Linked DNA regions of Xenopus tropicalis. Each later gene encodes a partner of the first gene's protein in a complex. Links are inferred from orthologs where the notes say so. Each region holds a gene or a part of one and is shown on either strand. Other genes may lie near its edges.

Region 1 (4,573 bases):
ATTTCCCAGCTGCTCTAATCCCACTGCCCACAGCACTAGGAGCTTTTGCCAAGCAACAATAAATAGCCTAATAACCACAAACATTAGAAAAAGGAGACCAGACGTACCTAAAATATGGTTTATCAGGAGACATGATGATCTGCAGGAAATCGCTGGTCATGTCCAGTTCAGCAAATGCTTCTCTAAGTCCTTCTGATTGGAGGATAATTTTATTAAGGACGTTGGTGCTGCAGAAATCAAAGTCCAGAGTCTCCTCGGGTTCCTGTGTGTGGATTTTGCACACTGTCACCACCCCACCTTCTTCTAGAAACAAGACAAGGGGGTGACCGTATCCTTGGTAACACATCTTTAAAGCCGTAGGTGTGCCTATGACGAGACAGAAGTGTAAAGCGCTATAATCAGGACTGCTATGCTTTCAGCCTGACACAGGAACACGTCTACTAAATGGAATAAAAATGTGATTTTCTGATCCTGAGCTGTCTCTAGAGGGCAACAAATCAAATTAAGGGTGATTTTGTGAAAGGAGAATAGTCATTTCCTAATAAGCGTTTCCTGATTGGTGGAGGGAAGGGGAACTTCATGGCACTTAACAGATAACTGTTTAGCAGGATTGTGGGTAGGAGCAGGTGCCCCAGGGCTTACGGCTCAGCCTAAAAGCACCGGGAGTACCAGTTGTTGCTTGCACCCTGTATCTTTCTATAGCTTTACTCACATATAATAAACTAAATTGCATTAAAAGTTAAATCCCACAACAAATAAAGAACCATACAGAGGAGAGGTTATACCTGGCCCAGCGCTAGCACCAAATATCGTAAGACAATCCAGCAGGACGGTCAGATTGATCCGAAACACGACAGACTCCTCTCGGATATTGAATTCTTGAAAGATTCCAGCCTGTGAGAAAGGGAAACAAAGAAGGGTGAGCTGAGTGTTCACAAACAATGTAAAGTGCCAAATATATCCACAAGCCCGAATGACTGAATAGAATGGAGCCCGAGGTACCGCACTGCATAGCAGGCAGCCATCATTAGAGAATCATGTCTTGGGCTCTGGAGAAAATATTACATAAGTAATGGGTAGGAATGCCAGGTTGGAATACCCAGTCTATAAGTACTGGATAGGAATGCCCGGTCCATAAGTAACAGGTTGGAATACCCAGTCCATAAGTACTGGATAGAAATACCTGGTCCATAAGTAACAGGTTGGAATACCTGGTCCATAAGTAACAGGTTGGAATACCTGGCCCATAAGTAACAGGTTGGAATACCTGGCCCATAAGTAACAGGTTGGAATACCTGGCCCATAAGTAACAGGTTGGAATACCTGGCCCATAAGTAACAGGTTGGAATACCTGGCCCATAAGTAACAGGTTGGAATACCTGGCCCATAAGTAACAGGTTGGAATACCTGGCCCATAAGTAACAGGTTGGAATACCTGGCCCATAAGTAACAGGTTGGAATACCTGGTCCATAAGTAACAGGTTGGAATACCTGGTCCATAAGTAACAGGTTGGAATACCTGGTCCATAAGTAACAGGTTGGAATACCTGGTCCATAAGTAACAGGTTGGAATACCTGGTCCATAAGTAACAGGTTGGAATACCTGGTCCATAAGTAACAGGTTGGAATACCTGGTCCATAAGTAACAGGTTGGAATACCTGGTCCATAAGTAACAGGTTGGAATACCTGGTCCATAAGTAACAGGTTGGAATACCTGGTCCATAAGTAACAGGTTGGAATACCTGGTCCATAAGTAACAGGTTGGAATACCTGGTCCATAAGTAACAGGTTGGAATACCTGGTCCATAAGTAACAGGTTGGAATACCCGGTCTATAAGTAATGGATAGGAATACCCGGTCCATAAGTACTGGATAGGAATACCTGGCCCATATTTACTGGATAGGAATACTTGGCCCATATTTACTGGATAGGAATACTTGGCCCATAAGGACTGGATAGGAATACCTGGCCCATAAATAATTGATAGGAATACCTAAACTGGTTACATGCAAGTGGCCCCTCAGATGTAACAGTATTGCTGTGGGACTTATGGGGGGATCTCCCTCAGCTTGCCCTGCTCCCTGCGTATACATTAGCTCACACATAATCAGGGGCTTAGGGTGTAAGCGCTGGATAAGGGAATAAGCCCCGCTACCTGAATGAAGGCGTTGGCCTGCAGACATTTAGCATTTTCCACCGTGACTTTAAGGCCATTGTTGGTAGCAAAGCAGGACGCGTGATCCTTGAAGTGAATGGCTTTCAGAATGTTGGACAGGTTCCTGGCGTTGTCCAGGCTGCAGGTTAACACGTACTGCTCATCGTCCACTTCAGGCTGCGTCAGGAAAGGCATACCCAGGGCCCTGTAATAATAATAAGTGATTTATTTAATGTTTAAATGTTTTTAGTAGCCTTAAGGTACAGTAATCTAAATTATTATTATTATTAGATCATATATAGAAATAGAGAGAAAGTCCTTTTCAACAATATAAACGTGCCCTTCAATGTGTGTTTTTTAATAAGTGGGTGGAGCTATAGAGGGCGGAGCCTATTAACAAACACATGGAAGCAAGTGAAAATAAGTACCACAGTAATGTTCAAACCTTTGGATTCAGCCAAGTATCGAATCATCCAAAAATGATTAGAAAATGTTTACTGCACTACAACTCCCAGCAGTCTTCAGTATACAATAAGGGTGATGGGCCAAAAAACATCTGGGAAGTCCTAAACACAGGGAAGAATAGTGAAGCTGCACAGTGAGCCGCGGATAGTAAGGGTTGGAGGGCCGCGGATAGTAAGGGCTGGAGGGCCGCGGATAGTAAGGGCTGGAGGGCCGCGGATAGTAAGGGCTGGAGGGCTGGATGGCAGTAAGGGCTGGAGGGCCGCGGGCAGTAAGGGCTGGAGGGCAGTAAGGGCTGGAGGGCCGCGGGCAGTAAGGGCTGGAGGGCAGTAAGGGCTGGAGGGCCGCAATGACACATTTACTGCTTCCCCCCAGTAAGTAATAATCACCCCGCTACCTGCAGGTGGGAGCAGAGCGGCTGCGCACTGGAGCAAACCAAGCACGTCAGAACGCACCGGAAGTCTTGGTTGCCCTGGTAACCGTCTGCCCACAGGAAACTGCTTCCTCAGTCACCCCTACCTCAGAGCCACTTCCGGTTCCGGTCCGCACGTGTAGCCCTGACAGAGCCGGCAATGAGGTGCCACTACGAAGTGCTGGGGGTCCGCAGGGACTGCTCGGATGAGGATCTGAAGAAGGCTTACCGGAAGCTGGCTCTGCGCTGGCACCCAGGTGAGACGCTAGGGGCACTGGGGCTGCTGGGCATGCTGGGAGATATTCTTATTAGCATTGCTATAACACTCAGCTGTGCTTCAGTCCCGCCCCCACAGGAGCTTCCCCTCTGCTGTTCCTATTCCAGTCACACTGACACCAGCTGGGGAGGGTTTGGGGTGAGGTAGGAACACTAGTTAGGGACACTCAGGTGGCTGAATGGGGGGAGTGGGAGGGCTGAAGCAGTGAGCCCAGACTAACAATGACTTGGCTGCAGCCATCTAACTGCCCAGGGTATACTGTAAGAAAAACTCAATGGCTGTCCCGGAATTCTGGGAGTTGTAGTTCAGAGAGGGTAGATTACAGGACTGTTCAGTTACAGTGTAGAATGGCATAGGGAGACCAAGGTAAGGATGGGGCTAATCTAATGCAGAGCGCATTGTGTGTATGTATATGTTTATTTATAAAGTGCTACTTATGTACACAGCGCTGTACAGTAGAATACATTAATACAAACGGGGGGTTATTAAGATAATAATAGATAAATACAAAGTATAACAATAAATACAAATAAATACAAGATACAGTTGCAATAAGTTAAGAGTCAAAGACACAAGAGGATGGAGGTCCCTGTTCCGCAGAGCTTACAATCTATATGGAGGTATTGCACAGAAGGAACTTGCAGGAGGCGCTGGAATGTGCTTGCCGTGTTTAAAATGAAGCTTTCATAATCATGTTCTAACGGGAAGGGTTAATTCCACATTCAGGACAATGTGCAGCTCAGTGCAACTTTTATTCATGATCATTTACTCAGTTGATGGAAGGGCCTATCCCCCATTTACTGGCTGTGGGTATGAGGGTGCCAGCTAGAAATTTAGTCTGGAAACTATTTCTGCCTACCAGTGGCTACTCCCCTTGTTGTATTTGTAAGTGGGTGTCTGTGTGGGTCTAAGCCAAACAAACACGTACAGTTCTCTAATAAGGGTTAAAAAGATAAACATCAAAGTATTTCCCTCTATTCCCTTATGAATGTATCGCTGACAGTGTAAAAGACATTGGGAGTATCCTGAATCCATCACTTGTATTTTTCCAGATAAGAACTTGGACAACTCAGAGGAAGCTGCCGAGCAGTTTAAATTAATCCAGGCTGCCTACGATGTTATTAGTGATCCCCAGGAGCGAGCTTGGTGAGTTATCAGCTTATGTTGGGAGGTAATAGGACAAACCCTTTATTTTGCCTGTATTTTTATAGGAAACTAAAGCCCTTGATTATACCAATTCATTCAGGAAATTCCAAATGTACATT
Region 2 (4,352 bases), on another chromosome or scaffold:
GAGGGCCACGCTGAGGCAGACAGGTAGTAGCCAGGGGTGAGGACACAGCAGGGGTAGGTAAATGCCCGTGGGGGGCCGTAGTTTGAGGACCCCCTGGTTTAAAATGTAATGGTCAGCACAACTTTCCCTTTTTTTGCACTAAAGCCAGAAAACATGTTAAATATCCTCAATTTGTAAATAAAGTTGCCATGGCTGCGTGGTTTCATCACTAGCACAGTGCCAGCGGCAGATAGTGCCCAAATATACAGTAGCTGGGCAAGTGGCCTTACTGACCCATTGCGGGACCCCCCAGCAATACAGCAGCTGATGCATAGAATGATTTGCTTGGGGCTATGGAACAAAGAGGAAGGATTACAGGCATTTATGGTACAGCATCCTTCATAATGAACTCCCTGCTGCTCTGATTGGTTAGTAAGGAGAACTGGACCAGCTAGAACGTTATTCTGTTAGGTTCTTGCTGTATATGTGATACAAGGGGGTTAGAGATCCCTTCTCGTGTGTTTCTAACTTTATTTTCCAACCTATACTAATTCCCTAATAACACCCGCACTGCTACAGAGTGAGCGACAATGGCTCTAGCACCCCCCTTTACTGATTGTTAAAGCCCCTGTCCCCTCCTCATTCACTGAATAGGTCACTCATTACCCATTGAATTGATGGAGGAGGAGGGTGAGGCAGACAGAAGGCAAAGCCATTGTATAACCCAACAACCTCATTATATGGGCGCACTAAAGCCAGAAAACAGGATACATTTTCACAATTGGGAGATAAAGTTGCCATGGGCAGATAGGGCCCATATATATATATATATATATATATATATATAAAATATGTGGCTGAACCATTGCAGGACACCCCCTCCCCCAAAAGACCATTAAGACATTACAGGTGGGTTGTAGTTGAACAACAGCGGCTTCCATAGAGTGGAACATGACAGTTCCATATTGAGAACTGACACCCCCTACACCCACAGGCCTCCATGCTCCTTCTACACAAGCCTTGCACCCACCCTCATACACACACAGCCCCAACTTCACGTCCGATGACGATCTAACCCGATCTAAATACCTGTTTATAAGACGGTGTCAATATCGGGCCTTTCCGTGGTTTTTGAATTTTCGCGCTTTCGGGCCCGCTTAAACCCACGTGACCACATCGACCAATCCACAGCGCGTCCCTAGCGCGTCACGCATCTCTCGACCAATCGCGCAATCAATCAACGAGTTCCTTTGGCAAAGAGCCAATCATAATGAGCGAGTTATAGAACGCTCGCCGTAGCCAATCGGTGTCGGGGAAAGAGAGAAGCCCTAACGTATCCCGGAAAGAAGGGGATATTACAGCGCTGGGCCGGAATGTTCGGGGGCTACCTGTCCGCTTATTAAGGGTTTGTAGCTGTCGGTGGGTTGTGGGTGCAGTTGTGGATAACAAATTGATTGGTGGGGAACATGCTGATTGGACCTGTTTGTTTTAAACGGAATCGGAGCCGTCATGTTGGGAGCGCCATCTGTGGGTAACTCATGGTATGACAGGAGGCAGAGACTAATGACTGTAGCACTCAGAGCTTGGCTAACGTACAGGTATGGGACCCCTTATCCGGAAACCCGGTATCTAGAAAGCTCCGAATAGACTCCATTTTAATCAAATAATTCAGAATTTTTAAACCTGATTTGTTTTTTCTCTGTTATAATAAAACAGTACCTGTACTTGATCCCTTGATCCCTGGCAGAACAGCCCTATTAGGTTTATTTAATGGTTAAACGATTCCCTTTTCTCTGTAATAATAAAACAGTACCTGTACTTGATCCCAACTAAGATATAATTACCCCTTATTGGGGGCAGAACAGCCCTATTGGGTTTATTTAATGGTTAAATGATTCCCTTTTCTCTGTAATAATAAAACAGTACCTGTACTTGATCCCAACTAAGATATAATTACCCCTTATTGGGGCAGAACAGCCCTATTGGGTTTATTTAATGGTTAAATGATTCCCTTTTCTCTGTAATAATAAAACCGTACCTGTACTTGATCCCATCTAAGATATAATTACCCCTTATTGGGGGCAGAACAGCCCTATTGGGTTTATTTAATGGTTAAATGATTCCCTTTTCTCTGTAATAATAAAACAGTACCTGTACTTGATCCCAACTAAGATATAATTACCCCTTATTGGGGGCAGAACAGCCCTATTGGGTTTATTTAATGGTTAAATGATTCCCTTTTCTCTGTAATAATAAAACAGTACCTGTACTTGATCCCAACTAAGATATAATTACCCCTTATTGGGGGCAGAACAGCCCTATTGGGTTTATTTCATGGTTAAATGATTCCCTTTTCTCTGTAATAATAAAACAGTACCTGTACTTGATCCCAACTAAGATATAATTACCCCTTATTGGGGGCAGAACAGCCCTATTGGGTTTATTTAATGGTTAAATGATTCCCTTTTCTCTGTAATAATAAAACAGTACCTGTACTTGATCCCAACTAAGATCCCTTATCCGGAATACCCTTGGTCCCGAGCATTCTGGATAATGGGTCCTATACCTGTACCAGCAGCAAGTATAAGGATTTAGAATCTAAAAATAAGGCAGTGGGATTTTACAGGCAAAGCCAAAAAGGTTTGATCTATTTTAGATCAAACCTTTTTGGCTTTGCCTGTAAAATCCCATTGGCTTATTTAATGGGAGGCTTATTTGCCCACTGCCTGTCAGTGTTCTGCACCTCATACTAATCCTGCTGTCCCTCTGTTTTTGTGCCTTAGGGCTGATTTTCCTGGATACAGCCATTTGTTTATTGCCCCTTAGCACCATGTGGCTGCTGGCGTTCCTGCCATTAACTGCCGATGCCTCGTAAGAAGCAGACCTCATACAACGCAAGCAAACCACGCCTGGTGTTCCTGGAAAGCCCAAAGCAGGGTCTGCGCCATGAGTATGGACTACCCCCTGACAAGGCGGCCCACCCTGTATGTGTGCCCACCAAACCTCTGGATCACAATGCATCCGCCTCTTGGGTAAGTGTTGGGTATTTTTTCATTGCTACATTAGTTTGCTTTGATTCAGGAGGGTGTTAAAGCTCTGGGCTACCCTGGGATCTAACACCCCCATTCATCAGAATGGCATTCAGCTGTTTACAGCAATCACAGTCTGACCAAGGGATACGTTGCTTTGCATTGATGAATGTTAAGGGGTTGTAAACCTTGCTGCACTGCTCAACCAAACTTTATTTAGTTGTTGCTGGACTATAAATCCCAGAATAATGTAATATATGATAGTTCAAGCATGCTGGGAGCTGTAGTCTAGCAACATCAGGATTGCATTTTTAAAGCAGTATTGCACAATAAAACTATTCCCCAAATCTCCACAGCCAGCAACTGCTTTATAATGCAAAACAATTCTCCAATGAGAATCCCTGATTCTGTAACAAGATATAGGCTTCTAAATGTCATCAGCAACAGGCCCACTGAACAGTTTGATGCCCATTGTGCCATCTTGGAGTCAGGAAGGAATCGTTTCCCCTCTGGGGCAAATTAGAGAGGCTTCAGATGGGGTTTTTGCCTTCCTCTGGATCAACTAGAAGTTAGGCAGGTTATATATAGGCATTATGGTTGAACGTGATGGACGTACGTCTTTTTTCAACCTAACTTACTATGTTACTATGTATATTGTGCATAGGTTTACATAAGTATAGGGCATGTAGGGGCCCCAAAATAAAAATGCCCCCCCATATGATCTGTCATTTTAGTTACTGCACAATCAACATATTTACTGCATTTTATGTGGGGTAAATCCTGCCTAGTGACAAGGAAGAAAAGGAAAGGTAGGGTTTAACATCATAGGGGCATATTAACCCTATGGGTCCCTACACATACAATGACAAATCACCCTAAATATGAATGGCCAATGGCCTACTGAACAGTTTGATGCCCAATATGCATAGATATACCAAAGTCTGCGGTATGTACTGACCCCAAAATGAAAATAGCGCATAAGGATTTCTCGTCTGCAACTCAGCTTTTGCACACAGAGCCCCCTGTCAGTGTATTATGTGCAGTAACCCCCCCCCTAACTATACACAGACCCCCAGAAAACCAGTGTCGAACTGGGGTACCTGGGGCCCATCAGAGAACCGCACCCTAGGGACAAACCAAACACAAAAGCTGTTGCTGCGACCACCACCCACCCCCCTACTATGTATGGAGTCCAGCTACACGTTACACATTTATCATCTGCAACATTTCACCAGCAGGTTTCAGTGAGGCCTTCAGTATTTTGGTACCATATATTAAAGGAGACATATCCTATAAAAATTATAAATGTACCAGGGAATTATGCTCCTCTAGATATAGACGGAT

Evidence for each region.
Region 2: the proteins of rad1 (region 1) and rhno1 are in contact, whole or in part, in a crystal structure (PDB 6J8Y), measured with the Homo sapiens proteins. The link is inferred for Xenopus tropicalis from reciprocal best matches to the Homo sapiens genes RAD1 and RHNO1. Residues at the interface, in NP_002844.1 of Homo sapiens: Asn47, Gly48, Ile49, Lys50, Phe64, Ile65, Gln66, Ser149, Lys155, Ile157, Glu211, Ala212, Lys240, Val241, Ser242, Arg244, Gln254, Tyr255, Met256, Phe266, Glu268; in NP_001239428.1 of Homo sapiens: Ser55, Trp56, Val57, Ser58, Pro59, Asp60, Phe61, Asp62, Thr63.

The regions. Positions count from the first base shown.
Region 1 is NC_030677.2:199,174,649-199,179,221, reverse strand, and holds the start of rad1 (cell cycle checkpoint protein RAD1), read right to left. Parts: upstream 3,018-4,573; 5' UTR 2,902-3,017; exon of another isoform or gene 2,862-2,901; 5' UTR 2,603-2,861; intron 2,363-2,602; exon of another isoform or gene 2,362-2,362; 5' UTR 2,353-2,361; coding exon 2,158-2,352; intron 895-2,157; coding exon 786-894; intron 367-785; coding exon 108-366; intron 1-107. Other genes in the region: dnajc21 (dnaJ homolog subfamily C member 21), read left to right, coding at 3,192-3,288, 4,361-4,454. UniProt on the Homo sapiens protein: Component of the 9-1-1 cell-cycle checkpoint response complex that plays a major role in DNA repair. The 9-1-1 complex is recruited to DNA lesion upon damage by the RAD17-replication factor C (RFC) clamp loader complex.
Region 2 is NC_030679.2:10,384,928-10,389,279, forward strand, and holds the start of rhno1 (RAD9, HUS1, RAD1-interacting nuclear orphan protein 1), read left to right. Parts: upstream 1-1,280; 5' UTR 1,281-1,384; exon of another isoform or gene 1,385-1,577; intron 1,578-2,762; exon of another isoform or gene 2,763-2,805; 5' UTR 2,806-2,843; coding exon 2,844-3,011; intron 3,012-4,352. UniProt on the Homo sapiens protein: Involved in microhomology-mediated end-joining (MMEJ) DNA repair by promoting recruitment of polymerase theta (POLQ) to DNA damage sites during mitosis.